Linked DNA regions of Lonchura striata. The protein of the gene in region 2 interacts with the protein of the main gene of each other region in a biochemical or structural test. Links are inferred from orthologs where the notes say so. Each region holds a gene or a part of one and is shown on either strand. Other genes may lie near its edges.

The links.
Region 1: the proteins of BCAR1 (region 2) and CRKL interact in a test that uses a peptide from one of them, tested with the Homo sapiens proteins (2 studies listed by BioGRID, with this or other methods). The link is inferred for Lonchura striata from reciprocal best matches to the Homo sapiens genes BCAR1 and CRKL.
Region 3: the proteins of BCAR1 (region 2) and PTPN1 form a complex in vitro, tested with the Homo sapiens proteins (3 studies listed by BioGRID and IntAct, with this or other methods). The link is inferred for Lonchura striata from reciprocal best matches to the Homo sapiens genes BCAR1 and PTPN1.

The regions. Positions count from the first base shown.
Region 1 is NC_134620.1:3,750,795-3,760,683, forward strand, and holds the start of CRKL (crk-like protein), read right to left. Parts: upstream 4,485-9,889; 5' UTR 4,066-4,484; coding exon 3,752-4,065; intron 618-3,751; coding exon 155-617; intron 1-154. UniProt on the Homo sapiens protein: May mediate the transduction of intracellular signals.
Region 2 is NC_134615.1:15,778,951-15,788,750, reverse strand, and holds the start of BCAR1 (breast cancer anti-estrogen resistance protein 1), read right to left. Parts: upstream 4,146-9,800; coding exon 3,396-4,145; intron 2,190-3,395; coding exon 2,028-2,189; intron 1,791-2,027; coding exon 1,686-1,790; intron 1,279-1,685; coding exon 130-1,278; intron 1-129. UniProt on the Homo sapiens protein: Docking protein which plays a central coordinating role for tyrosine kinase-based signaling related to cell adhesion. Implicated in induction of cell migration and cell branching. Involved in the BCAR3-mediated inhibition of TGFB signaling.
Region 3 is NC_134619.1:1,087,857-1,098,031, reverse strand, and holds the start of PTPN1 (tyrosine-protein phosphatase non-receptor type 1), read right to left. Parts: upstream 4,485-10,175; 5' UTR 4,395-4,484; coding exon 4,332-4,394; intron 4,116-4,331; exon of another isoform or gene 2,823-4,115; coding exon of another isoform or gene 2,811-2,822; intron 1-2,810. UniProt on the Homo sapiens protein: Tyrosine-protein phosphatase which acts as a regulator of endoplasmic reticulum unfolded protein response. Mediates dephosphorylation of EIF2AK3/PERK; inactivating the protein kinase activity of EIF2AK3/PERK.

The DNA of each region.
Region 1 (9,889 bases), on a different chromosome or scaffold from region 2:
CTTGTGGATGTTTCTTCAGAATGTAACCTAACTTCTCGGTCCCTCAACATAAATAAACAGACTCCACATGAAGTCATCCACATCAACTTCACCATAACATAGTTTCTTCTTTCACAAGGCAATTGAAAACTCTGAGACTGAAGGAAAAACTTACCTCTAATGCCAGCGCAGTCTTGTCATAAGCACAGGGTACTCTCTTTTGGACAGCTTTGGCATAGACTGGTCCATTCTGTGTGGATGGCAGAGGATTGATCACTGCTCCAGGTGTGCTGGATACTGAGGGAAGGGGAGTTGCGGTTTGAGGCTGAGCATAAGCATGGGCAGGTTCTGGAATACCGTAACTGTTGGAATTCCTGTTTCCATGCTTCCCAACTGAAGATCTGACTAGCTTTTCTACGTAGGGAACAGGAATCATCCCAATTCGACCCTCCTTGTTTCTGGCACTCCACCACTGTTCTTCTGGCTTCTCTACAATTACCAGTATCTCGCCCTTTTTGAACGGGAGATCCTCGGCATCGTTGCCAGGAAAGTCATAGAGAGTCCGAACACACTCCATGTTTTCCTCTGCAGCAGACATGGCAGGGGCAGATCCAGATCCCATTGGTGGACTTGGATACCTGAAGATTTGGTAAAAGTAACAGCTTGGTTTGTATTTCCAGTAACAAACTAAGTACTAGGTTTGCAGCAGGAACATCAATTAGAGAAGGATTAATTACTTGGGTTTGTAACCAAATCATTGGCTTGGTAGCACTGTGAGGCATTTCATGAGTAACTCACACTTCTCAAATAATGACTTAAACACCCTAAGTAGCCTCCCCAGAAGCCCAAAATAATCTATCATGGGATGCAGAAAACTGGAGAAATCATGCAAAATCTTCAACCACATGTTCTGGATTGTTGTGATGATCTTAGAGTCAAATTAATTCTATAATTTAAGTTATGAGAGTAATGATACAGAAAACCAAATTAAGACTATCTGGGGGATTGAGGTGGAAGGGCATTACATAAAAATGTAGCTATGAATCTCTCCAAGAGTCCCTTGCCACCTCCAAAGTCATCCAGATAATTTTGTTTTTATCTTCAGCATCCACTTCTAAAGAATTCAGTAAGTAAATGCTAGACTTGAAACACTGTAGAGGAAAAAGGGAACAAAAGTAAGATGGTATGACATCTTCATAAAGACAGTATGAAATACTTGCATCCACTGATAAGAAGGAACTAAGAAAAAAAAAAGCTAGCCTTCTATAAATATTCCTTTGCCTATTTACCTATTAACCATATTATCTATACTTTATTTACGTAATTGTTTATTACTATGTCCATCATTTGTCAAATACAGTCACATTGTTGTCTGTGAGAATATATAAGATTGTCCATCAAATGAGAATGATTTCATTATTTTCATCATAAATGTTATACATTTTATTCAAAGCAGCTGTCAAAAAAACCTTAGTGGATATAGGCCACAGCAGATACTTATTATCTAAGCTATGATAGCAAGGATGCATGTCATTAACCTACTTCAATTCTCTTTTGCTACTTGCAAAATATGATGGAAGTCAAATCCCTGTGATTTTTGCAAGATATGCCAGAAGCCCTGAAGATAAAGATATTCCATCTTCAGACACCCTGCTGCAGCCAAAGCAGGGGGACAGAGGGAACCCTTCAGGGAACAATTACTTTGCATAAGCAAGAGCTCAGAAACATCAGCAAGGATGGTCAGAGCTCACTACTAGAGACATAAAAGAAGCAAAGTTTAAAACGGTCCATTTAGGACTGTTTTAAAAGTTTAAGATGTCATCTCTAAGATCTAGAAGTACTGTAGGGCTCTATATAGAAACCACCTTTCAGACTGTACTTTATGAAATTAAGAATGAACAGCTTTCAAAAGCACAAGCATCTGTGCCCAGGAAAATGCCAGAAAAATAAGAATTAGCATAACAGTTCTGACGCACATACCTGGCCACCCCTATTCTAAATCTAGTCTATTAACTAAAAATTTAAAAAAAACCCACCAAAAATCTGGAAATTCTACCTTTCATCATCCCTCTTGCAGCAGGAAGTCTCCTTTGCACAGAATTTAAAACCATCAACCACATAACTGATTTTTCTAAGAGTTTTAACAAAGACATTGTAAGGAAAAAGACCTAGTCAATCCCATTTGTAGCTCTATATAAAAGCTAAAAAAGTCAATTCCCTGCAGATTAGGTCCCATTTGTCTGTGTGCTGAGAGAACAATATGCAACCAAAACGTTGCAAATGAGGTGGTACTAAAATGTTCACAGAACATTTCACACAGGACTCCTCAAACTCCACAAATACCAAGTGTGCAAGTGCAATCAGCTCCAAGTTCTCAAGTGCTTTGAGAAAGCCAAGCCAGTCATGGCCATAAATGATTATGAACAAGTTTTTGCATCCAGAAAGGTTCAAGAGAACAGAGATAACCATGAAGATTGCTTCAGCATAAGACTTTTTTTCTTCCCAACTCTCCACATGTTTAAGCATGCACATAACACTGGGCAGCTCCATTTAAGCATTCCTGCAATGGTGAAAACCATTTTTTTTATCTACCCATCTCTCTAGCCACAATCACTACCCAAAAGGCTGCCAGCAGATTGAATAGTTCTTGAAGGTTGTGCTTTGTCACATCCTGCCCATCACTTAACAGCTTTTCAGAGTGACTTTTGAACACCTGGGTTTTCAACTTGACAAGCTATTGTCAATCTTTGACAAGTGACTGTCATTAAGTACTGGTCTAGGCCAAGGTTCAATTGTGATTATAAACCTAAAAGTTATTCTTCCCTCCTAAGAACTTGCTAATCTGCAAAACATAATAAGATATTAAAATTCAGAAGTGAACCAATTTGGATTTATTTTTTCAATATGTCCCTACTTTTCTCTTATTTAATTTAATTTCATTCTCTCCAGGAAGCCCAAAAGTTTTGACAAAAGACACTGAGAAAGGCTTTATTAATTAAAAGTAAGGAATATGTTATAGGAGTCTTCATAAGCAGTTTACTGATGTATGTTGCAGGTATGTCCCATGCTGGGACCAGGACAAAGAAGGAGCTCATAGCCAAGTCACATTTTCCCATCCTCCTAGAACAGCATTTCTCAGTGAAGTGTATGGTATATGCAGATATAGATGAACAGTACCATAAGCAATCTGTGAGAAAATAAGTGTTTTACATTTTTTTGGTGCAGAAATGCCACTCTAAAAGTTTGGGAAATGCTGCCCTATGTATTAACGCTGACTTAACAGGGCAAAGCAGTCTAATCACATAAAAGCCAGTCCTATTGTAATCGGTGTGGGTGCAGGGGTAGACAGCAAACTAAGCTCAGAGGCTGTACTTCAATCACGGAGAGGACTGGTGAACCAGCTTCTCAACCATCCTTGGAACAGAGAGACAATGCTAGAAGAAGAGAGTAACACAAAAAGGGTGACGTGCGACCACACCCTCTTTCAAGGCCATTTCAGCCCGTGGCAGATGTACATGGTACCTTTACACACAAGGTCAGCACAGGGAGAGTGGATGATTGCACGGAAAGAGCAACACTTTTAATTGTCGGGGAGATCCAGAGCGTTAAGGCTCAGCGTTAGCAACGAACGTTTCCTTAGTATTTATTCATAGCATCTACACCCAGTGCCAGGCTCCGGAGCTCCTGGGCTGGGCTGTGACACCTTCACAGGTCGCACCTCCTGGCGCCACCCGGAGCAAAGGTGGCGGTGGGTGTGGCGGGGGACACTCACCTGGGCGCGGGCTCGATGAGCGTGGTGGTGTCCAGGTAGTGGATCTTATAGAACTCCAGCAGGGCGGGCAGGTGCTCGAACTCCTGGTCGCCGATCTTAAAGCGGCGGTTGGGCAGGGAGTTGATGATGTAGTGGGAGACGCGGGAGTTCTCGGACACCGAGAGCACGTAGTCCCCCGGGCAGGTGGACGAGTCCCGCACCAGGAACATGCCGTGCCGCTGCCCCTGCAGCCGCGTCTGCGCCTCCGCCCGGGACACCGGGCCCACGTACCAGCTGGAGCGGTCCGACGAATCGAAACGAGCGGCGGAGGACATGGCTCCGGGCGGGGAAGGGGAAGGAAAGGGAGGAAGGAAGGTGAGGAGCCCGGAGGCCCTGGCGGAGGAAGAGACCCGGAGGAGGCCTGGGCAGAGAGGCCTGGGAGGTGGAGCGGGCTGGGGGCGAGCGGGAAGCGGCTCGTGCTTAGTCCAGGAGAAAGGAAACCCAGGGCAAGGGGGATAAGGGAGAAGGAAGCTCCGCGCCGCTGGAGGCGAAGGGCCGAGGAGCGGCTGGGGTGGGGCTGGCCAGACGCGGCGCGCAGGGCCCCCGAGTCTCCCTCAGCGGCGGGGTGTGCAGGGCATCCTTCCCGCCTCTCTCAGGCCTGCGGCGGGCCCGGCCAGGCGGGTGACGAAGAGCAGCGGCGGCTGGCACGGGCGGGCGGCCCGGGAAGGCGGCGAGCGGAGCCGGCCCGGCTCGGGGCGGGACGCGGAGGCTGAAGCGCCGGGCGCCGCGTCCTCCCGCGGGTTCCTCCCCTCGCGAGCCCAGCTCCAAAATGGCGGCTGCGCCGGGCCGCGCGAGCGCCGCGAGACACCGCCCCGCGCACGCGCCGTGGCGGCGGCGGCGGCGCGGGGCCGCGCCCGCCTCAGGGGCCGGGCGGGGGGTTCGAGCCCCGGAGCCCCGTCCCGGCGCCCCGGGGAGCGGCACGGCCGCCCCTTCCCCGTTCCTCCGCGAGAGTCACTCAAGCCGTCCCCGGTGCACCCCCGCTCGGTGCGGTGAGTGAGGCGGGGGTGACCGCATCCCCTCACAGGGCAGGGCTCCCTCAGTGCTGCAGGCGCGCTTTGACGCGGGACACCCCCCAGAAACTCCCCAGCCCTTGGCCTTCAGGTATCTGAGGGGGCCCCTCCATCTTCCCCCCATCCCTCTCGGCACGTTCTCCCTGCTCGGTGCCGCCCAGCCCCGGGCTTTGCTCCCCGCTGTCCCGGGACTGCCTCGGGCTGCTCTCGCTGCTCCCGGACCCGAGGGGTGCCAGCACCCTCACCCCAGGCGGTTTGCAGACAGACACCACCTCTCCTGAGGTTTTGCTGGTTTTTACTAGTTAATTAATTCTCTTTTAAGGAACAAAACGGCCCGCCGTGATAATCATCTCTGATCTCGAGATAATTTCCTACGTGCTCCAAGGGGCCGTTTCCTGCCTCTTCGTAGCTTTGTTCGCAGATAACGGGGTCAAAGCCCGGCCTGGCCCGGGCGGGAGGGAAGATGGTGTGGCAGCCGCTGAGGAGGAAGGAAGGCCCGGAAAGGCCTCGGCAGGGCTCGGGGGCAGCGCTTGGCACATGGTGCGGATGAGCTGTTTGAATTTGAGAGGAGGTTGGCGCCGGGAGCCCAGACCGGCACCGGGCTCTGACTCACGCCCCGGGGGCCGGCAGCGCCATTCGGCCCGTCCGGCCGCACTGCGCGGGGGCGCGGCAGAAAAACTGCGCTGCCTCCCCGGAGGTGCTAGAAACCTCCGAGAACGGTGTGATTTTAGCTCAGCCTTGTGACTTCGTTTAATTTGTGCTTTTTTAATTCATTTTGCTTCAGGGCTGGCAATGTGAAATGAAGCAGCACTTGAAAAAAAAGAAAAAAAAGCCAGTTCAAATGAGAAATAGATTTAAGATGTCTGTCTTGAAGCGCTTAGCTGGACTGTTGTGCAGTGTTATTCCAGCTTTGCTGTCTTTCTTTCATGCTCTGCCTTTTCCAAAAGTTCAGTCATTACATAGTCATATTTTTCCTTTGTTCCTCATCCTCCATTGGCAACCAGTGCCAACCGAGGTGTCTGGATTGGAACATATGGGCTGTGTCTCTGCAGACATTTAGCAGAGTTCAAATCTGAAATGGAAGACTTCTCCAGTGTCATGATTTAGACAAAGCCATCCAGGAGAAGTCTCATCATTGAGATGAAAGGATCTTAAAGCAGCCCCTGAATTCATGAGCAGGTATCGTTTTACCAGCTGCTGACATACAGCCATCTCCTGGGTGGAAAACAACAGCTGTTAGTCATGTACAGCAAAACAGTGACCTAGAGATGAATAATTACATCTGAAAATTCACATCTATGCAAAAAAATTTTGTCCATTACTAGGAAATCTTACTTAGTAGCTATACCTCTGATCCATTCCTCCTGGTTTAAGTGCTTGTGTCTGCTAGTAACAGCCAGTTTTAAACACTTGTAGACAGGCTATAATAGAATATGAAGGTTATGATGTTTTCTTGTGTCATTGAACAGATCTGGCTTGTTTTCTGTTTGACCATGGCCAAAATACAGATTAAAAGATAGCACTTGAACTTGCAATAATATACTAAATAACATTTAAAAATAATTATAAAAGCTGTAAGTTAGCAGCACATTTAGTAACTCATAGTATATAAAAAGGAAATAAAAATTCCTGCGGCTTCATTTTGTTGAATTACATTTTTTGTTAAAATAAAAATCAAATATGTATAGTGATTTTGCCTCCATTTTGTACAGATAATACTAGAATCTCAATATAGTTTGAACAGGTCAGAAATAAGTAGTATTCTAAACCAGTTTTTGTGCAGTACTGCATGGGGCTGGACTGCTGCTGAAGAACCAATGCTTCCACCTTCCCATCCAGAGAGGATTCTAAGGCATGGAGAGGTTTTCAGTTTGAATGAACTTTGAAATTAGATATTCTGAACTTGTATATGTGCAGGTTGTGTGCATCCTTCAAGTAATTCCCTCTGTTTTATTAACCGGGGTTAAACTAAACCAGGTATTTTAGGAAAAAGATCCCACATATGAGGGATATCTCATATCGTATCTTCCATATGAGCAAAAGTTAACTTGTTCATCATTAATGCTTTCTGATAAGACTGTGCTTCAACTTCCTAGACTACAGACAATCATCTCAGGTGTATTACATCCCTACAAATGCATTTGGTTTAGGAAGAATGGATGAATGTCTGGTACCACTTTGCCTTTTTAGTACATATAAATACCTTTATGCTCTTTGACTTTACCTGTTGGCAGTTGAGCATGGCCAGTTGTAATGCAGGGGGGAGCTCAAAAGTGCATCAGCTGCCCATGAAACAAAACCTCAGCTGGCAGAATATTCCCTTGAGAAGGCCCTGTACCTCTTTCCCTGTGCCAGCTGTTCCTTCTTCCTTTTCACCAGAAGCTTCTTCCTTTCACCAGATCCCATCAATTGGGCTGAGTTCCAAATAAATTGTACATGTGGCTCATCCCTAAGTAAGGAGAAGTACATTTCTGCCAAGGCTACAGAATAAGAATCCTTATTTTATTTCAAATCAAGTACTGGGTATGCTTCCAATACAAAATTAATGACCCTAATTTGAACTATGAGGAAAATGGGAAAGGATATGTTGGATTTGGAAATAGACAGCTGGAGAAGAAATACAGTAGTGAAAGCAGTTATGAAACAAAACTGAAGCAATCACAATCATTTCTGCAAATATGGAAAATGTAAGCCTGAAATACTTCAGGATACAAGTCCACTAATTACAAATCTGGCAAATATGCCTGTACAGCTTTACCTCTGTGCTGGCAGGAAATAGGAAAATAGATCATCAAGAAAGCTAATTACCATTCTTCTGGACTTCCTAATGTATCAGCAGTTTGAGTGTTGGTATTTTGATCACTCACTTCTGGAAGAGCTGTTTGATTGTTCTCTCACAGACCAGAAATAACTTACAGCTTTCTTAGTTCATTGTCCATCTGTCCACAATGTCTTGTTTTATACTGGCTCAGGGAGCTTACTGTAAAAAAAAAAAAAAGCCTTTTACTGTCAGATACAAGACTGACATATTTAGGACACCAGAGAAGTTATATATAAAAAAAAACAACCTAGAATCAGCTTGAAATCCCTATGAGTACATGTTTCTTTTGAGGTAACAAAGCTTAAGTGGGCTTGTGAAAGTTCAGTTCCTGAAGCATCATTCTTGATAGGAAAACCAATCAATAATAATTACAGCCCTGTGTATCAACCTGTAATCTTTCCTGCGATTTGTTTATATAGGTAATGGTAGTAAACAAGAAGTAATTTATGTCTGCTGAGTAAAAGAAAATTACATTTTTAAAGCAAAGCAATTTTATTATTATTTAGCCTGTGTGCTAGTTTGAAAAAAGGACATGCTGGCCTAAAGTGAGCTACTGCTAAAAAATGATTAGGATGGTTTGAGCTAAACTCCATGGTTTTTTACCTAAATGAAATACATGCAAGTAAGATAGTGCATACTGTAACTTTCAACAGTCACATTGTCGTCAGATGTAAATAAATTTTGGGGATGAAAGCAAAAAGTTGTTTTTTTACCAAGTATTACCTGCCCTTAGGATTAGTTCAAGTAACTTAGGGTTATTATACCAAATATATTTATATTATATATAAATATAAATAAATATATATATAATATATATATTATATATAAATCACTCAAATAAGTAAAAACAAGAGAAAAATAATGTAATGCTAAGGTAGATGATCATCTGCTTTAAGTAATTTCCTTGCAACTACATTCTAAGCCTTATATTCATTAGCTTTTCAGAGCATCCAACTGCAACATTTAGTGAATAATGCAATCACAAAATAGCATATGCTGATAAATGGAATGTGGATGAGCTCTCTAGAATCAGTATTCACACACAGAAGGAGTGACAGGGTAGAAGCTGGAACACCCACTCTCCCCAAAGTTTGCTCAAGATGTTTCTTTGGCTCATTAATTACTCATGAATGTCTTCTATTCTCGTATGTAATCTAAGAATTAGCCTCTCAGGTTGGTTATTTGTAACAGTGAGTAATACCCTCTAGCGGTACACATAGGAAAAGGAGCTAGACAAAGAATGATTAATTCTTTTTTCATTGTTAAAGAGGCTAAGTAAGGTTTCATCTAAATAACAAGAATAACCCTGTATCTTTGTATGATACAGGGCATCACTGGTCTGTCTAGAGATGCTGGTTAAAATGGAAAATGCACTGCACTGAGTTAGATGTCAGTTAGAAATAATAATTTGTTTGCAGAGGAAACAAATTGCCACTTACAGTCTGGAAGGAGTGGTTCTAGTGACTCCCACATCAGAGAGGTATGTCCTTATATCTGAAGGCTACATTTAATTCCTACATATGACAAGTAACTCTGTAGGCAAAAAAGGAATATTTATCAGTCTCTAATATTGCAGTGTAATAAAGCCTGCATTTCCAGACCCTGTGTGCAGTCCAGCGTTCACTATCAAAAAAGTATTCTCTGAAAAAGTTTGTAATCAGGGTTTCCTGCAGTTACCAGGACTTTTGTTTTATTTGCCATTGGCAAAGGTTCAGAGATGGAGCTGAAAATTGACAGTGCTGAATAGAGTCCAACAAATGCCTCTCTTAACAAGAAAAAGCTATTGAACTCATTTAAAGAAGTAAGTTTAATGCAGGTAATTCAAATACCCTTTAATCTTTTTCCAGAACCCCGGTCTACTAAGGCAGAGTAATTTAGGTCTGTTTTGAAATAATCTTTGCTTCCATAAATAGAATATCCCCAAGCAGGGGGAATATCCAGGAAGTTAATGCATTTCTCTGAAGTAGCACATCCATGTGCAGTGTGTGTCACAATGTGATGACACTTGTCTAGTCCCATGTCATTCTGATTGTCACTGGTTTTGCCTTTCTGCAACCCCAGTATTGCTCTAAGATTTAAAAGCTTTTGGGAGTTTTTCAGGATTTTCTGGTGCACTGAATACTCCACTCCTCCAAGAGGAAGGATCTCACAGTATTCAGTATCACACTGGTTCAGAATTTGTATCAGATTCTAACCTAATGTTAAGCAAGATGGGAGTCAGAAATCAATTATTTTAAGGTCCCATGAAGGAAGGATTTACTGTGCCTT
Region 2 (9,800 bases):
CCCTGGTCCACAAAGCCCTCAAGCTGGAGGGTAAGAGCAAAACATAGGCAGAAGCAGAGCTGCCTAATTCCCCCTGTGACAGAGACATAAAGGCTCCCTGTGGGAAGCAGCCCCCATACCCATGCCCACCTGGAGATGGACATAGTCATAATCCTCCATCCAGCCGCTCTCGCTGTTCTCGTAGGGCCCGTCAGGTGACTCCTGGGCCAGCAACTTCGGAGGGGAGGGCAGGGGCCGTGACTGGATGCTGCTGGCTTTGTCGGAGGGGTGAGGGGGCCCATGGCCACCACTCTCCACCACCGGCTTTGTCCGTTTGAAGAGAAGGGAGGCATTGCCGTGCAGGAAGGAAGCCAACTGCTTAGTGTCATCAGGAACACCACGTGAGTGCATGATGAAGTGCTCCAAGTCATCTGTGCCCAGCTTGCTGCTGGCCAGAGCACTGGGAGCCCAGTGGCAAGCGTCCAGCGCTTGGCCGTGCCTTGCCAGGGCCTGGTAGACCTCCTCCATCTTCTGTAGCTGCTTGCTGAGCTTGGTGTAGAGGGAACGGTCAGAGGCCTGGGCAGCATTGCCCACTGCCCCCCGGGCAAACTCCAGCAGGTCCCGGAGGGCTGTCCGGACACCGTCGGCTGCCCCACGGATGTTGGCAGCATTGGCCTCCATGTGCTCGGGGTTGCGCCAGTTGGTGCTGATAAAGGACATGAGGTAGGAGACAGCGCTGCTGACGCCACTCTGGAGCTTGGCCAGTGTCTCCATGGCGGCATCCAAGTCCAGGGAGAACTCCTTGCCGGCTCCCTTAGCCGGCTCCTTCACAGGCACCACGTCCAGCGAGGATGTGGAGATGTTGCTGCGGGTGCTGCCTGTGCTGGAAGCCGAGAGGCGCTTGGCATCAGCACCCTTGGCCTCGCGGTCTACTTGTGGTGGGACGTCGTAGATGTACTCGCCCTCCGTGTCCACAGAGCCCTTGCCTGGGGCGTGCAGGTCCCGGGGCACATCATACACCTCCTGGGAGGGGAAGGTGGATCCCCCCAGCTTCTTGAGGCTGGGGGGCACATCATAGATCTCGTGGGAGAGTGGCAGCTCAGGAGCACCTTTCCCAGCTGTCGGGGGCACATCATAGACATCCTCTGGCAAGTAGGGCTCCTGCTGGGCCAGGATGAGGGGGTGGCGGGAGGGGTCGAAGGTTTTCTGCTTGGCGAAGGCGGGTGGCACATCGTAGGTCTCCTCCCGTGCTGGGCCATCGGGCACGTCCTTGCTCACTGAGGGGGGGACATCGTACACCTGCAAGGGCAGAGCAGTGGCACTGTCAGCAGGGAGAGGCAGCCTGGGGTAGGTGTGGAGATGCAGGCTGGCTGCCCCAAGCTGCAGAGCATGCAAGTGACAGCACTGAGCATTCAAGATGGCCCTGGGATGAAGCCATGCACCCCAGGGGTGCCCCTGCCCTTTGGGACAGGAAGCAAAAAATCATAAAGCAGCCCAGGTTAGAAGGGACTTTGAAAGATCATCTGGTCCAACCTCATCCCCTGGATGTGAACATCCAGCAACCCATTCCTTGGCATTCTGAAAGCCTCCAGTGCCAGGGACATCACCACATCTCTGGGGAGACTGATCTAGTAAATTACTTTTCTCCGTGTAAAAATCTGTCTGCCATTCTTACACAAAGCTGGGAGCTTCCCAGCAGCACTTACAGTTTGGTGCAAGTTCTTCTCCACGCTGGGGGGCACGTCGTAGATCTCTTGCCCTGGGTCCTGCCCATTGGGACCCTTCACTGCCATGGGAGGAGTGTCATAGACCTGGAGAGGGGGAACACAGGATGACGTGTCAGAGATGGTGTGGCCACCCACCTCCCCTCAGGGACCAGCTGAGGTGCTCAGAAGCAGCACTGAGGTCCATGAAGTATAGTTTTGGGTGCAATTTAGCCTGGTATGGATCTCAGGCAGTGACCTGGAGATCCATAGTGACCTGGGGATGATCTCCAATTCTTAAGAGCAGAAACAGAAATGTCCCCCTGACATCCCAAGCAGCCTCACCTCCTGGCTGAACTGGCTCGGGACCCCTCCTCGGACAGGTGGCACATCATAGATCTCCTGGGAGCCCGTGGAGATCAGGTGGCGAGGGAAATCGTACTCAACCTGCTCACCCTTGGGGGAATCATAGACATACACCTGGCCCACACGGGTGGGCACCAGCACCTGAAAAGAGGGAAAAGACATGATGTGGGCATTACTGAGCATCTCCCACCCTGCATCATTCCCTCAAAACCCGGCAACGGGGCCAGAGAGAGCACGGCTGCTGGATTCCGTACCGGGCTGCCTGGAGTTAGGGTGTGCCCGGTGCCACGGGAGGGCGCTCCCCGGCCGGGCTGCGGCGGTGCCGGGATGATATCACCGGTTATTTATAGCGGCGTAGAGTCTCAGCGAGAGACAAAGCCCGGCCGGCACAGCCGTGGCACGCAGAGAGCAATGGCCGATCCAGGCATGGGCTGGGGTCTGCCAGCGCCCGGAGATCCCTCCCGACCCACAGCTCTGTGCCTGAACGGGTCGTTTCATGGTGACACCAGAGCGGAAAATAACCAAACCCAGAGGGTAATGGCACCCTGCCCAACCAATGCCAAGGAGGGCTGAGGTGTTGGGCCGGTTTCTTCCTTTTCGGATGTTCCTTGTGCCCTGGCTGTGATTTGGCAGCTCCCTCCCCTCACTGCCTGCTTCCCAGGGGTATGAGTTGGAGTAGCCTTCCTGGAAAACACGATACTGAAAGCACCTCACTCCTCTTCCCGGGGATGACGTGCCAGGGTAGGGGCAGAGCCAGAAGCAGGCTGGTGTCCAGGATGGAGCCGTTAGGTTCCATGCTGGGGACAGCCTGGTGGCTCACCCTTCCCTCACCAGTGTACCTAGCAAGTACTGCAGGCTGCCTGGCACAGTCAGGAAATGCTGGCTCTGCCTGTCTGTTCCTGTGCACGCTCCCAGGAGGAACAAAATCTCACAGCATTGTGCTGGGTACCACAGCTCCTTCCACAGCTCCAACACCTGGCATTCCAAAATAGCTCTTGGCTTACCAACACTCTGTGCCCATACCAAACACACTGCCATGCCCTGGGTGATACCAGCAGAGCCCATATAAGAGACCACAAGGACCAGAGTGCTGAATGCTGTGCCAGCCCCAAGAGGGATAGCTCCCACCAACCAGGGCACCTCAGCCACTGCAGGGACTCTCCAGTGCACCCACTCCTGCCAGCAGTGTGGGCAAAGATACCCACACAACCCCAGCAATGGGCACATATGCTGCTTGTTCCAAGCGTAGCAAGCTGAGAAGCCCAAGCTCTGCCACCCACTTGTACCCCTGGACCACAGAGCACCCCACAAACACAACACACTCCCACTCCAGTCTCGCCATCCTACCTTTCCCTGGGGCTTGTGCCCTTCCCAGCTCCTCATGTCCAATGACGGTGGCACCTGGTAGATTTCTTGAGCCTGACCAGCTGAGGGAGGAACCTGGTAGACATCCTGGGGGGGACTGGCAGAGCCCCCTGGGTACGCCTCTGCTGCCTGGCCCAGGGAGGGGGGAACCTGGTAGATTTCTTGGCTGGGGTTTGGGAAGGTATGGGGAGGTGCCTGCTTCGGGTAAGTGGAAGGCTGCTTAGCTGGGGCAGGAGGAAACTGTCCAGTGGGTGCTGAGCCCGGGTACAGACCCTGCTGTCCCTTGTTGGGGACTGGCATCAGATAGACATTGTCCCCTTGGGGGCCATAAGCAGGGTGCATGGGGGTGTACTGCGAGGCAGATGACAGCGGGGTGTAGCCCCCTTGGTGGTGGAAGGGCAGAGCTGGCTGGGGTACAGATGGCTGCGGTGGTGCCTGCCCCTGTGCCGGGGCAGGCGCCTGCTGCTGCGGCTGCTTCTTGTCGTACATCCCCACGAGAATCTTGAGGCGGTTCCCGGGAACGATGCCCTGCCGGCCATGGAGCGAGCAGAGCCACCAGCCATCCAGCCCCTGCGTGTTGCGCTCCAGCACCGTCATGATGTCGCCCTTGCGGAAGGAGAGCTCGTCCGGGGACTCGGCCACGTTGTCGTACAGCGCCTTGGCCAGCACGTTCTGGAAGAGAGCCCCGCGCCGGGGCGGTGAGCCGGGCCCCGCCGGCCGGTGGGGCGTCATCCCGGCGATGCGGGGCGGCAGCTCAGCACCGGGACGGAGCCCCGCGGGCCGGGGGCTTCGCCGCTCGGCTCCCGCCAGCTGGAGCTCCCCGTTCCGGCCACCGCGGGATCCTCGCTGGAGCAAAACCCACCCTTCCCAGAGGAGGTGCTGGGAAGGGGCCGGGCCCTTCCGCCTCCCCGGTTTCGGGGGGCCTCCTCTGCCTCTCCCGCCCCTTCCCTCGCCGGCTGGGAGGAAGTGCCGGGGCGGTGAGTCAGCCGCGGCCGTGGCCGTCGCTCGGCACCCGCCGTCGGTCCCGGGCCCCTTCCGCCCCGCGGGGTCCCCGAGCCGGGCCCCGGCGGCACCTGCCAGCGCTGCTCGGGGCCGCGGCGGCGGGACGGGCCGCGGCTCGCCCGGGACGGCAGGGCCGGACTCCCGCTGCCCCGCGGCCCTGCCCGCCGCCGGTGCCGCCCCGCCCGGTGGGGCGGAGGCCTGGGGAGGCCCCCGGCCCCGCTGGGCCCCGCGAGTCCCGCGGCGCCCTGACCCGCCGGGAGGGAGGGGGGCAGGCAAGGCCCGGCCGGCTCGGAGCGGGGGAGCTCGGCCAAGGTCACGGCAGTGGGATCGGCCGCACGGGAGAGGCCGTGCCCGGGCCGAGGGTGCGGGGGCTGAGGCCTTCCTCCTCCTCCTCCTCCTCCTCCTCCTCCTCCAGCAGGGCCCCCCAGCAGCCGTTCCCCCGCGCCCTACCTGTCCCCGCACACGCCCCGTGCCCTGCCCCGTGCCCCCGCTCACCAGGTAGTTCATCTTCCCGCGGGGCCGCTCCGGGCCGGGTGCGGGGCCGGGGGCCGGGCCGGGCCGGGCCGGGGGCGGCGGGGCCGGGGCGCGCGGGCGGCGGCGGCGCCGTAGGGATCGTTATAGCGCCGCGCGCGCCCGGCCCGGCCGCTCCGCCCGCCCCCATTGGCTGAGCCCGCCCGGGGGCGGGGCCACGCCCGATGGGCGGGAAAGGGGCGGGGCCGCCCGTGAGGGGCGGGGCGGGCACAGGGCCGGGGTGAGCGACGTGAGGTGAGGGTGAGGGGAGTGAAACGGTGGGACAGCGGCCAAAGGGGTGGGACAGCGGCCAAAGGGGTGGGACACTGGCCAAGGGGGTGGGACACTGGCCAAGGGGGTGGGACACTGGCCAAGGGGGTGGGACAGGTGCCAAAGTGGTGGGACAGCGGCCAAAGGGGTGTGACACTGGCCAAGGGGGTGTGACACTGGCCAAGGTTTGTGACCAAGTGCGACAAAGGGTAAGGGGAGAGGAACAGGCGTGCAACAGGTGTGCACTGAAGCGTGTGCAGCAGGTGTTGTAGTGAGCCTGCACTTGGTGTGTAACAAAGGCTGTATGCAATGTGCAAATGAAGGAGACGGGCTCTGCAATAGGTGTGAAATGGTACAAGGTCATTAAAGGTTAGCGGGTGTGTAACACGTGTGCAATGGTTGTGCAATAAAGGCTAACAGGTCACTGGGGAGTTCTGGGGTGTACTGAGGTGTACTGGGGTGTACTGGGGTGGTGTGTAATAGCAGGGGGATACAAGGGGAAGGTGATGGGTAGTGTAGGTGCTATGGCTCACATGGCACACCTTGGCACATGTAGCATACCATGGCACACATTGCACACTCTGGCACACGTGGGACACCTGGCACACAGGGCACACCACAGTACCTGTGGCACACCACAGCAGCCTGTCTGGCCTGTTCAAATGGCCTGGCTACATGGCCACAATCTGCACCCCAACAGCTGGTAAGGCTGGGTTTGGCATCACTGCGTGATGTACCACAGTCCCTGCCATCATCTGCAGAGAGCTGGGAGCAGTCTGGCAGGTCATGGCTGCAGCTGGAGCTGTGGCAGGCACGCATGTGTGATCTGCATGGGGGCACAGGACCTGTGGACATGCACAAGCTGCATGGACACCCATGCTGCTCCCCCAGTGTGTTAGAGCCAGAGCACACAGGGAACCAAGGGAAGGGACACAAGGGGTGCCTGCAGCCACTGAGCTCAAGGGCAAGTAGGCAATGAGTGGGCCTGTGTGAGGCCAGTGAGTGAGTGGTGCGGGTGGAGACAGGCCAGGAATGTGCCCTGACTGGGCGCGCATGCCTCCTGGCTGCCATCCCCATCACGCATTTCCCCTCACCCTCCGGGGTTACTTTCAGGCCACACCAGGGTGGGGCGGCAGAGCTGAGGCCAGATTGCAAACACGTGCCCTCCCCCAAAAAGCAGTGCTTGGAGGCAAGTGTCCCTGTGTGTCACTGGCAGAAAGGGAAACTGAGGCACAGCTGTGGCTGGGAGACATCCGCTGGCAGGGACTGTGGTTGCGCCCGCAAACCGCAGCTGCCCCGGCGGGCGCAGCCTGAGGACTGCGGTTTCCTCTTGTTGGTGACAGTGGTGACAGCGCAGGCATGAGCACCGTGGGCATCCTTGGGGTGGGCTCCAGGCTCCCCAGCCTCTCTTCCGCCACCCTACAGCTGATCCCATGAATCCCATGTGTTTGCCTTGGAGACCCCGAGTCTGGTGTGGGCCCACCAGGCCAGCAGTGAGAGTCTCCTGGGATCCCTGAGGTGTCCCCAGGGAGAAGCTGCCACCATACGAGTTCAGGCAGGTGCTGAGGGGCCATAAGGTTCCTGCTTTTGGACTTAAAAGCAGTGGGAACATCACTTTTCCCTCTCCCTGTGTTGATGCTCAGATCAAAGTGTTCACTGTCAAACTCAATCCCATTTTTGGTCCATCAGAGCCAAAAATCACTGCTTGCACCTGCTGAGCACCCCAAGCTGGCAACAGCTCCTGCACATCCCTACAGCCAAGCACCCATGGGGCAACAGGCAGCAGCAGGTCTTCCTTAGGCTTCTGCTACCTTTGAGAAAATGAAATGCCAAAAAGAAGACGAGAAGTGGAGCATTACAGGGGCCCTGCAGCGCTGGGGGTGCTCAGAGCTGGATTGGCTGCCAGAGCATCCCTGTGCTGCTGCTGCTGGGGGTCCCGGCAGTCCCACGCCGTGATTCCCTGCCAGCTCCAATGGACACGGGGCTGGGTGTTTCGGGATGGATGCTCCTTGGGATGCAGGTTGCCCCAGCAACGGTTGCTATGGAAAACACTTCAGTGGCAAAATTTCCAGCCATATTCATGTGTCCGTCATTGTCTTCCGGAGGTCCCTGGTGGATGGTGAGCCAGGCACGGCTGGCTCTGCACGGGCAGGCTGCTGCTGTGGCTGCAGGGGACTGGCTGTGCTGGGCACAGCTATTCCTGGCTTTTTGCAGCTTTTCCTGCTGGATATGGTGTGAGAAGGCGTAGGAGGACTCCAAAGTGAGATCTGGGGGAGCATGGCAGATGTACAATGGACAGGGGGAGCAAGCTGTGCTGAACCATGCCATATTAATTGGCTAGCAGCCAATTAATGTCCCATTGGCCCAGCTGTGCCCCAAACATTGGTTGAGATTCATTTTGGTGAATCAAACACAGGGCACTGCTTTGGGACAGTGGGACATACCAGGAAAATGGGGTGGGACTGGGATGTTTGCTGGGACCAGCAGCTTTGGCTGGGGCTTCCTGCTCCTGCCCACAGCCCTGCCAGGTCTGTGCTTTGGAAAGCTGCTCCCCACCTCCTGGAGCAGCAATAGGATTACACAGGACTGAGTCTCCTAGCAATGAATGAAGAAATAAATCCTTTAAGGCAGGACAGGATTTATTAGACTTCAATATTCTGGAAATAATGAGGACATTTCTTTTGGCTTGTAATATCACGGGACCCAACAGGATCACAACCAGGATTTATCCTCGTGCTTCTCTGTGGCACTGGGTTGGTGCTTTGCTGTGGAGGGAAGATGCTGGGGGAGGCTGCTTGCCTTTCCAAAGAACAGGATTGCAAGGCACCCCCTCATCTCCAGCAAAGCCAAGGCAGACTGCAGGCCTCAGGCTGCCCCAACAGTAGCAGCTCTGTTTGTCTCCCCATTCATCCCCTAGCGAGGGCTGGCGCTGATCCTCGCCCCCAGCTGGGGCTCACTGCTGGGAGCGGGAAGGGCTGACAGCAGGAAGGGTTGTGCCATCGCCATCAGCTGAGTTTCAAATGTCAGTGCCAGTGCCCACCACCAGCACAAGGATTCCCTGGGGTGGAGACCCTCAAATGGGGTGGGAGACCCACAGTCCACTCCATTTCTCCCCATTACTTTTGAACACTGCAAACAGATCCCCACTGTGCTGCTTGGTGGGACATTGCTCTGAAGGAAAGGTGGGAAGAGGCTGAAAACAACAAATTGGAGAAGAGGATATGGTGCTGCCAGCATCACCTTCCAGCTCTGCCCCTCAGGGAACTGCTGCCCTAGCGGCAGAGAGATGCTCCTAAGGTCAGCTCCACGCTCTGGTCCCTCCTTCTCCCAGCTGCCACGCTTTGCCCGATGGCAGCTCTGTCCATGAATCCCACTGTGGTCCTCGGGACAGCCTGGGGCTACGGGATGCACTCCCAGCCAGCCAGCATTCACCCTCCTCCCATGCTGAGAGCCAACATTTATTCCTGTGTCCCTTTCACTGAAGCAGCTTTAAGTGCACAGTGTTACCTCTCTCTAATGATTCCCGTGGCCCCGTAACAGCCCCCACCAACCCCAGCAGATCAGTAAAGCTGAGCCTGTGGGTGTGGGTTGGACACAGCTGGTTTTACCATGGCCCCAGCACACGGGTGCCATGGCAGAAGCCCTGACCATCAGGACACACAGACACAATTGGAGCCTTGTTTGGGGCTCAGCTGCACAAGGGGCCCCTTCAGGCAGCCAGGGAAGGGGGAGCTCCTCAGGGTGAGGTGATGCTCTGGCCATGAGTGACTCCTTATAGGGCCAAAATTACCCCAAGCAAATGCCCAGGGTGGGTCCCAACCCATGGAGAACGTGTGAGCTTCCCAGAGAAGACAGCTCAAGGTGGGAATGTCTCAAAAGATGGAGCCACATCTGAGAACATTGCTCCTTGCAGAAAGTGCAGGGCTGCCGGGGACATCAAGGGCTGGTGGGGCTGAGGGCTGGCGGGTCCTGGGGCACCCCCCTTTGTGGGAAGGTGACTGGGCAATGGAAATAGCAAGCAGAGAGGGGTTTTGGTTGTTTTATTTTTTCCCTCCAAAGCAGCCAAGCTGTGTTTTCTGGAGACCTGTAAATCACTCCTCGTCTTCAGGAAAGAGGCGAAGAATCCATGATCCAACCCAGCAAAAACGCGGGATGCTTGGGAGCGTGGAGGAAGCCAGGAATCAGCCAAGGCTGGAGGCTGCCTCCCAGCCATCCCGCCAAGCCTGCCCCAGCTTGCTGGGCCAGGAGCTGGCACCGCAGCCCAGCATCCTCAAGCTTAACTGGGTACACCATGCTGCCACGAGCTCAGCAGAGGGGCGTCGAGGCTCTTGGCTACTGCCATCACACTGCCCTTTTCCAGCAGGTCAGGTTGCTTCCAACATTTCAAGGTTTTCCATATTTGCTCAGCTGAAAAGAAGAAAAAACTCTGGAGGGTTTCTGAAGCGCATAGCTGGGACTGGCAGGCAGGATCCCATAAATTGCAGGTCATCAATTTTCCCAGTTCACCAGCATACCAGGGGAGGTTGTGCTGGCCACATCCCTCTAAAACACCATTAGCGTGCGTGTGGATTCAAAGCCACCCCCAAGCCATCCAGACACAGATCC
Region 3 (10,175 bases), on a different chromosome or scaffold from region 2:
ATTTGAATTTACCATCATTTGGCATGTGGCCAACACCGCTTTCTCCTTAACAGTTTTCTTTCATACATCTGTGCTTGCAGCACACAGAGGAAGCAACAATACCGTGTGAAAGAACATACTAACACCATAAAACCCGTCCAAAAATGCTGAGAAGCAGGTGAGCACTGTGTGTGCATTGTATGATTTCTAAACTTTTAGCAAATGATAACCATAACAGGCTCCATTTTCCCATGCTCTGCTTCCAGCTAGACTATCACAGCAGCTCTGGGTTCCAGTATTTGATTTTAAACTCTGTAGAAAAAGCAAGTGGCTCAGTAGCTTTATCTAAGGGGACTTAGGCCATCTCCAGTCTGCCAGCAGGAGACACGGCTGGCGCTGCTGTGAAGGAGCCAGCACTGAAGCCCAAGCACAGTGCCCCGAGGGCACAGAGGTGCCATCCCCTGCAGCTGAGCAGCAGCTCTGCTTTCCAGGGAGCACCCTGACTTTGTGAGCCACACTCTGCTGTCCAGCACTAACCCTGCACACACGCAGCAAGACTCAGCGTACAGCACAGGAAAACATGGAATATCTTCAGCTTACCGAAGGAACAGAGACTCCCTGCAACCCTGAGCCCTAAACCAGCTTTCTACAGCCAGAGCCAATTATGCTGAGCCTCAAATGAATCAACAGAGCACAAATTAAGCAGTGGCAAGGCACTGCATGCAGAGACCTGCAGCTAGAACTGGCAGAATAAAGCACAAAGATGCATTTATAAAAAGTCATGTTCGTGCCACAATTTATCTGCTGCTTAGCACCTGAGCAAAGGAGCTACCCAAATGCTTTCAGACTGCAGCCTGCACTCCTGCTGCAGCTTATAAACCAACAACACTTCTAAAGCTTCCCTTCCACTGACCCTAAACACACAACACAACCACACTGTTACAATTCTTCAGGGTCAACCATTTCACAGTTTACTTCCAGCATCAAAATCCATCTACGTAAGAAAATATTCTATAAATATTCTTCCAGAGACAGTGAGTATCTAAAAAGCTTCCCATGCCTTTTATGTTGTGACAGAGGGATATCCAAAATATCCACGATCCCTATCTTCCTCCCATAGTCTGAATAAAGTTCATTAATTTTCAAAATCTGTAGTATTTTAATTTAGCTTAGAGAGGTTTGAAGCATTCAAACATTCAAGTTAATATTTGGTTAAAAGACCTTAAAAAATGAATAAAGAAACTGAGAACAGTTATTTACAGGCCTCAAACCCAACTCCAACTACACTTCAGTTTTCCAGAGATAGGTTTTGGAAGGATACTCACTTCCAAACATGCTGGAAAATCTAAACTATATCCAGTTCTTATTATATATTCCACTAACTATACAAACTAGAAAAGAATGTACATTTTATTTTCATTTTGCTGCCTTCACATGGAAAACTCTGCATGAGCAGTCCCCAAATGTCAGCTCTGCCTCCACCCATAGTGGATGGAATCACCAGTTGAATGGTACATCAGTAAATAATTCAGAGGTGTTTTTACTGCTCCTGATAAGCACATCAAAGTTAATATCATTGGCCAACATACTAAAGTCAACATATCTGGTTTCTTTAAACACAAGAAGCAACTCTATCTGTATTTAAGGGATGTGTTTTTAAGATAATATCTCGTTCTATCATCCTGTGTAAGAAATTAGAAACTAAAGCATCTTCTAAAGTTCTGAAAGGCTTCTGCATGTGAAATTACTATGAAAATCTGATACTGCGCTCACTGTGAGCAAATGACAATCCAGTCATTGTTGTTTTCATGATATCCATCCAGTTGTTTTGATATTCTGGACAAATATCTACTTTTCTTTCCTCCTCTAAGAGCTTAAACTGTGCTTTCCTTAGCTTTGGGGTACGGGTTTTTTGTTGTGACATCTCCGGAGTGAAAGCTTCTCATTCCAATAGATACTTCTAATGGTATTTCTGCAGGGTGCATGTCATTCACTTACCCTTAAGAATCTGTTTTCTGTTGCACACCTTTACCACAGTTAGTACATGGTAAAGCTCACTTTCCTCTTATGGTTTTATGGAAGAGGATTTTAATTCGAATGCGCCTTTCTTACACTTAGGTTTCTCTAAAACAGAAACAACAGCCAGAACCTTAGCAATTATTTTTCTCACTTGGGTCCCTGAACAGCCTCCACAGAATCTTATGGCTCGTAGTTCTTTTAACAAGCAAATCTAGAGGAAAGTATGGGATAGAAATAGGTATTAAAAACCAAACAAACATTCAAAAAAACCCTAGAGTAACAAAACGCAAAGAACTTCATCACTGTTCACCCTGTGACCAGCTGTACAGAGAATGGTTCCACCATTGTGCAGTGCCCAAGACTTGATCGTCACAAAATCACCTAAACAAGGTCTTCATTTTGAAGCGTTTGTGTCTCCCCATGCTGGGATTACTTCTGCTGAAAAAAGGAGATCATCTAAATTCTGTTCTTTCCCAACTGTACTATCATAGCTGAACACAGCTTCCGCTCCTTGAAAAAAAAGACGCATGGACAATTTTAACCCTTCCAGGTCATGTGGCACCCAGGCAGTCTCCCTTCCCTTAGCCACACCTCCCTGTCTAGGCTCATTCCTCCTGGAGCCGCTGTGCTGTATCTCCAGATAACAGACAGGCAAGGAACACGGGCAAGCTGCAAATGTTCACCTGCAGCACTGGGGAATGTTTCTGGGTTCCAGCAGTTACAACCCCAACGCTGAGGTACCAGAAGGCCGTGGTACAATTACCCCGGGGGAAATGCTTTTCTGCACCCATCACACACACTGCTCTACTTACTGCATTCTTCATGCAAAAGCCAGCATTGTAGGAAAACTGCTTTGCTAATGTCACAGCCCAGACACGAAAAGCACAGCTCACGGAGAAGCACCTTCTTCTTCCAGATGTACACGACCTGCCAAGATGCCATTTCCAGCAGCTTATTTAAAAGCAGGATGCAGTTGAGAAACTGAATTTCATGACATAGATGCACATATTTACTAATCAATCAGGGGAAAAAAAAAAAACAAGTAGAAATCCCACCCCCTGTGCTTGTCAATAGTTGGATGCAAACCAAAGAATCACTTCAGTCCTTTTTTAAACTGAATTTTAGTCCTCAATCAAAGCTCATGCTGTGCTACAGTTTGAGCAGGCCACTGAGTCATATCATTCAAAGAGAGCAGGACAAAAATATCACTGAATGCTAATCCCTCATTGAAAATGGGCCATTCCCTCATTCGACGTAGATATTTCACTTCTGTAATTCAATTGTACCTGTAGAAATGTACTACTTAAATTACAAAGCTCTGTTACTCAAAATCATTTCCTGAGCACTAAGCTCGCAACACACCAAATCATCCAGAACGGTTCAGCAAAAACATAACGTCATATATCCACATGACTTTCAACTGATACAGTCGGCAAGCACTGACACTCGGCAGGGAAATGTAGGAAATGGACCTTCTGAAAAGCAGGCTCAACATGTCATGCTTATTCTCTAAAGGCCAGACAACTCAAGATGTTCACCCTGCAAGCTACTGCTGTTACAACTTGCATGCTACTATTCTGAAACTGAAGTCCTTTTATTTCACTTTTATGCAACTCCTCTCCATGGTCTATTGCCAGAGAAATTCACACTGAAAGAAACAAAGCTCAACATCTATGTTGCAAACATGAACTTCAAGTCATTCATTTATGCAATATACCAGCTTAAACATTCAAATGGATGTTACAGCAATGCTGCCTGATCTGACTGAACACATCCGCCCAGTCATTCACGTATTTCAGCTTCTCTTAAACTTCATTTTAGATAAAGGTGTGAAGAACTTTTAAAGACAAAAGCACCAACTTCTGTGGCTTGTATGCTCAGCTGGATCCAGAAGCCAAATATTACTGCAAGCGTTAACGTTTGTCACGGCGCTGTTTTAAATACCCCCGAAAAAAATCTAAACGCAGCAAGCGACACAATAAAAACCCACCAGCAGCTAGCTGCAGGAGTATTGCTAATAAGCTGCTGCAGGCTCTGTTCTATGATTAAGGCGCCTGAAAAGCGAAATGCTGCTGTGCTCCGAGCCGAAGGCAGCTCGGAGGGGCGGCCGGAGCGGCTCCTCCGCTGTCCCCGCGCTGAGGATGCGCCCGCGGCGGCAGCTCCGGGCGGGCAGCGCGGCGGGGCCCGGCCCGCCGGGGAGCCGGGCAGGGCAGGGCAGTGCCGGGGCAGCACCGGCGGCACGGCGGAGAGAACGAGCGGCAGGCAGCGAGCGGAGGCAGGCAGCGCTCCCCACCCGCGGCCGGGGCAGAACCGGGCAGGGCGCTGCCCCTCACCTGGTAGATGGCGGGCCAGCTGGCGGCCTGGTCCAGCCGCTGGAACTCCTTCTCCATCTCCATCTCCACCCCGAGGGGGCCCGGGCCCCCCAGCGCCGCTCCGGCTGCAGCTGCTGCCGAGGCCGCGGCGGCTCTGCCCGGCCCCCGCCCTCACGGTGCCGCCGGAACTGCGCACCCGCCCCGCCGACGCCATGTCCGGGGCGGTGGGACCCGGGCCCGGGCAGGGCACGGCGGAGCTCGGGCGGGCACGGACGTGCCCGCCCGGGCTCCGCCGTGCCCTGCCCGGGCCCCTCCGTGCCCCTCCGTGCCCCGCCGTGCCCGCCCGGGAAGGGAAATTAAGCTTAGTGGGCTCTGGGAGATACATCCTTGGAAAGTGTAGGCCGTGTGCTTGCTAGAAGCGCAGCTGTGCGGCTAAGTGATAGAATTGTTAGACGTGATGGTTGTTTAGTAGGTAAATATAATTGCTGTTTAGTCGTAAGAATAATCATGAGAGGCTGTGGTCAAGGGGTTGAGAAGGGTGGCGAGAAGCTCATGGCCAGCACACACCTGAGGGACCTCGGGCAATGTGTACAATGGTCTCGTTCAGCGTGGGAGCAGCAGCAGCTGTGAGGGGCTGGGGTCACCTCAGTGTCCAGGAGCGGGACAGGAGCCGGGCAGTGTCCCCCGGCAGTGGGGACAGCCTGGCAGCGGGGACACCGGGCAGAAGGATTCGGCTGGGACACACCTGCACAGGGCAGGTGAGCAGAGATGAGAGTGAGGACAAGGAGATGCGACAATCAGAAGCCAGACGGGGACTCAATGCCAGGCTCAGCGAGCCACGTCACAACCGCGGTACCTCAGGTGTGTGAGGGCTGAGAACTTACACAGGAGTGTGAGGGCTGAGGGGTCCCTCAGGTGTGTGAGGGCTGAGAACTTACACAGGTGTGTGAGGGCTGAGGGGCCCCTCAGGTGTGTGAGGGCTGAGAACTTACACAGGTGTGTGAGGGCTGAGGGGTCTCTCAGGTGTGTGAGGGCTGAGAACTTACACAGGAGTGTGAGGGCTGAGGGGTCCCTCAGGTGTGTGAGGGCTGAGGGGTCTCTCAGGTTTGTGAGGGCTGAGAACTTACACAGGTCTGTGAGGGCTGAGAACTTACACAGGTGTGTGAGGGCTGAGGGGCCCCTCAGGTGTGTGATGGCCAGGATCACCACAGGTGTGTGAGGGCCGGGGTCTCTCAGGTGTGTTTGGGCTGGGGTCTCAGGTGTGTGATGCCCGGGGTCCCTCAGGTAATGTTCAGGCCGGGGTCCCCTTTCCCTGGCCCGCAGCCGCGGCTGTCCCGGAGGAGCTCCGGAGGAGCCCGGCAGAGCCCGGTGCAGAGCCCATTCCATCAGGGCAGTCCCGGCAGAGCCCCGGAGATGCCCGGCAGAGCCCGGTGCAGAGCCCGGTGCAGCAGCGCAGAGCCCGGCAGAGCCCCGGAGGAGCCCGGCAGAGCCCGGTGCAGCAGCGAGCCCCGGCAGAGCCCGGTGCAGCAGCGCAGAGCCCGGCAGAGCCCCGGAGGAGCCCGGCAGAGCCCGGTGCAGCAGCGAGCCCCGGCAGAGCCCGGTGCAGCAGCGCAGCCCGCAGCGGGCAGGAGCCGCTGGGTGTCACTGCTCCATCGGGAGTGCTGGAACCCAGCCCCGCTCGCCGCCCGCGCCTCCTCCCGCAGCAGCAGCGCCGGAGGCAGGGCACAGCTCCTCCTGCGAGTTCTTACTCTAGTTCTTCCCATTCCTCCTCGTAAAGATGTACTTTTCCGCTGGCCGAGTATTTCCGTCTAAAATTGCAGGGAAAATTGGCCCTGGCATAGTTTGGCTTTTCTGTAAGGTTTCTTTGGTGGCTTCTGAACTATTTCCTGCTTAGTAGGAAGCCGTACAAATGATATACAAATAGTATAAATTAGTATAAAAATGTATATAACTTTGTAGTATAAATTATTATACAATAATATATATTATACTGTATAAATAATATAATATTACACAGTATAAATTATTATAAGATTTTTTAAAAATAAACATCTTACAATAAAATTTATTGATGGTTGGGATAGACTAGGAAAGGTGGTAGGAATGTCTGGATTGGAATTGTTACAGGAAGGTCTGTTTTCATTAAATTTTCAGTCCTGGCTTGCAATGGATAAAGGGTAAATTAATCTCTGGATTTATAACTTCAGCTGAAGCCAGAGGGGATTTACACAAGTGCTGAATTGGACTCAACTGGCTCCACGCTTTTGGATACATGTGCCAGGGATACCTGTCCCAGTAGAGCTTAAGGTCTGAAATACATTCCAGCCAAGAATATGAGCTGAAAATGGCCACTTGGATCAGACATCTGTGCCCTACAAACTTGTTCACCCTTTAATACATATTTAATCCTCAAATTGTGCCTCCGCACATATGCAGAGCAGCAAAAAATTTCCTAAGAGCCTTTATGAAATTTATGATCTACCTTACAAAATACTAAAAGTTGCAAAATCTGCGAAGGATTGCAGGAAATAAAACACAGAAGAGATTAAAAGTCTTACTGGTAACTCAGATCCATATAATAATGGAGGATTAGGTAAATGAAAATGTTCTGTGCTCTCAGGACACAACCCTTCTTGCACTTTGCACAGAGAAAGGCAGTCCCTTCCCAAAACAATTCCAACCTGTGCAACTTAAGGCACACTGTATTTTCATCCCAGTGTAGCCTGATTCAGAGGTTTTGGTTTTCAAATTGTCCACTAGAGCCTGGCTCTTAAAATGACAATGAGAATTCAGGGGAAAGGGTTGGATCGTGTTACTTATTTCTACTTCATAAAAAAGGCGGGTGCTTGTCCAAACTCAATCCTACATTTCATATCCTCTCTTCATCCTCCACAGCTCAGAGGATCTTGATGGAGAAAGCTGGGAATACACAAATACACGAACTGCACTGTGGAGTGGCAGGGTGTGCCAGCCCCAGGGCTCGCTGCTCTGGCAGCTGCCAGGCTTTAGCTTTTGTGAAACAGAAGTTCTGGATGGGATGGGATGGGATGGGATGGGATGGGATGGGATGGGATGGGATGGGATGGGATGGGATGGGATGGGATGGGATGGGATGGGATGGGATGGAACTTGAGTGCTGCAAACAAGACTAGAATACCAAAAACTCTGCTTACTGCCTCTGTTAAAGGAAAATAACTTCTGTGTGTGTGTGTGCCTGGGCAGCTTCTGCTGGTTCAGATCTTTCAGAGCCTCCGTGGGTTTTACAGGGCGTTTCATACCCTGCTGTGGCAGGAGCAGGTGGAGGCAGAGATCTTTAATCAGCTGTTAGTGACTATATCTCACCGTTGGATGGCACTCCAGCCCTTACTGCTCGTTGCCATCACAGCCTGGATTTCACTCGTACACAGGATTTTTAAGTCAAGTAGTAACGATTAGGAAGACTTTTTTTATTACTAATGTGATAATAGAGTAAAATTACACTTGCAGAGCTGGCTTTAGTTTCACAGCATTAGGCTTTGAGAGGTCTATGTTGAAATCTTGCCAGATTGTTTAGTTTTTTAAATAAAGATTTCCAAATGCAGTTGGGACTCAGGGGTGATGGACTCTCTAGTGTCAGGAGAGATGTGTGTATGTTTATGATTGTAAGGTAATTTATCCCCAGGCTTTCAGTCACTGTTTTATCCTTTATGTAGTGTTTTAGATTAATGGGAGAATGTTTTCAGCAACCTTTTCCTTAAGTGATCCTTTTTCCTTGCAGCAGATGCAGCATCCCTGAGTCTGGAATCACTTCCACCCGTGCTTCCCCGGGCTGCAGAACGGTGAGTGCTCCAGTCTGCACATCTCTAGTCTGGCAAGCAGAAATATTTTTTCCCTCACATTGAAGATGTTCAATGTCTGCATTTCATTCAAAGTTGTGGCTGCTGGTTTTACAAATGCAGGGAGCATTAGCTCAAATGTGGTTACTGACACAGCAAAGGTTTCCTGCTGAGACAGTAGTGTCCTTGGTGTCACTGCAGATTTGCCTGGGATTCCTGCAGGGTTTTGCAGTCTGCCCCGAGTTCCTTGCTGCCAGCAGCCTTAGCTTGGAGCAAAGGGAGTTTATTTATGATTTTCTGACTGCCCTTGAGGTGGGTATCCAAGGCAAAGTGTGTGGCAGCAGCAGCGACCGAGCCTCCCCTCCTTTGGCACCCGCTGCTGGTTTCTGTGGCATCCCACCCCTGCAGTTCTGCCAGCCCCAGTGTTCATGCAGCTGCACTTGGGAATGGAGGTGGGAACACAGCTACTTCAAAAAATACCAATCCCCCCAAAAACACCACCACCACCACCAAAAACCACACCCCACAAAAAATACTTTTCTTCTGGATTAGCTTTAGGCATGACTAGGTCTCTAGTACAGTAAACCACATTGGCACATAAACAATATTTCCAGAACTACAGAACACGTTGATGCTGGGGCAGGAGGAGAAAAGAAGATAAATATCAGTACCATAAACCAGTATTACCACTCAAGACTCCATCCTGAGACACCCCAGCTAATTCTATAATTTCAGTGATCCATGGTGTTCTAAAATTTGTTGTTATTTGTAGTAGTAGTAATTACAGCAGTAATAACAGCAGTAATAACAACTATTATTATTATTATTATTATTATTATTATTATTACTATTATCTTTGTGACAAAATGCATGCCAGCCATAAGTAAGACTGTAGTTACAACAAATATCTTGTGTGGAAAGAACAGCCTGAATTCCTTTTTGTCTAGGAAGAGAACAAAAGCCTTCTCATTTCAGGTAAGCCTTTAAGATAAAAAAATAGGAAAATAAAATCTTATCTATTTTAATCAGTATTTCCTTGAAACAAGTGTGACTATTTTCATATTGTCCTCTAAAGAACAGTTCTTTCTGGAGGCACATCTTAGAGCTTTTAGAGTGTGAGAGTTTTCTCACTCTTTATTTATTTTCTGTAATGGAAGAGGAGCTCAGATCAACTCCCTTTTGCTGAGTCCGAGGGGCTCAATAAAACTGCTTGGGAAACCAGCACCGGATTTGGGATGGCAGCAGGGAGATTTACACTTTGTGTTTCCCCAGCACTGCACATAAACAAGTATCTTTCAGCTGGAACATTTTTTACAAGTGAGATACAGTAAAAAAGTCTGGCCCAATTTGAAAAGTAAATGAGACAGAAAAATCCTTCTGCAGGGCAAAGCAACCTCGATGCATGGCTGGCCTTGGTGACCCCCTGCCAGGAGAAGAGGGACCTAGGAACGTTTCTTCTAATGGGTTATCTGAATCTTATCTGCTCAAACACTTCAGAGTTCAGGAAAAGCAGCCAAAGTCAATTTCTGCTTAGAGTGTTTAAAACAAAAAATAAACAGAAGGGAGAAGTTGTGCGTGTGCAGGAGGAGGCGTTGCGCTGGAGAACGGGCAGGGTGGTGGGACTGGGGAGGGAATGGTTTCACCCACACTGGCTCTTCTGAAATCCGCTTGCATCTATCCATGTTTTCGCAAATGAAAACGAAATTGCACAATCCATAATTGTGGTGATGGAGGGCTGCTGGTGCTCTCTCTGACCTGCCAGGTAGGTGAAACAATTGTCAGTGTAAATTAGAGAACAGCTGTATCGTTATTCAGTGACAGTTACCTGGTTCTGCAAAGCCTGGAAAATGCCTTCAGAGGCAGAGTTTTCAGGTCTTTGTTAATATTTTAAAGCGCTAAAAAAAAACCCAAACCAAACCCCTTCTCAGTGTGCACTGGCTGATGATTGAGATGAGTTATCTGCTCTGTGCCTCCAGCCTCCCGCCTGAACCAGCTGTTCTCAGCCCAGACATCAAGCTCCCTTAACGCTGAACGGAAATGGAAATGGCTG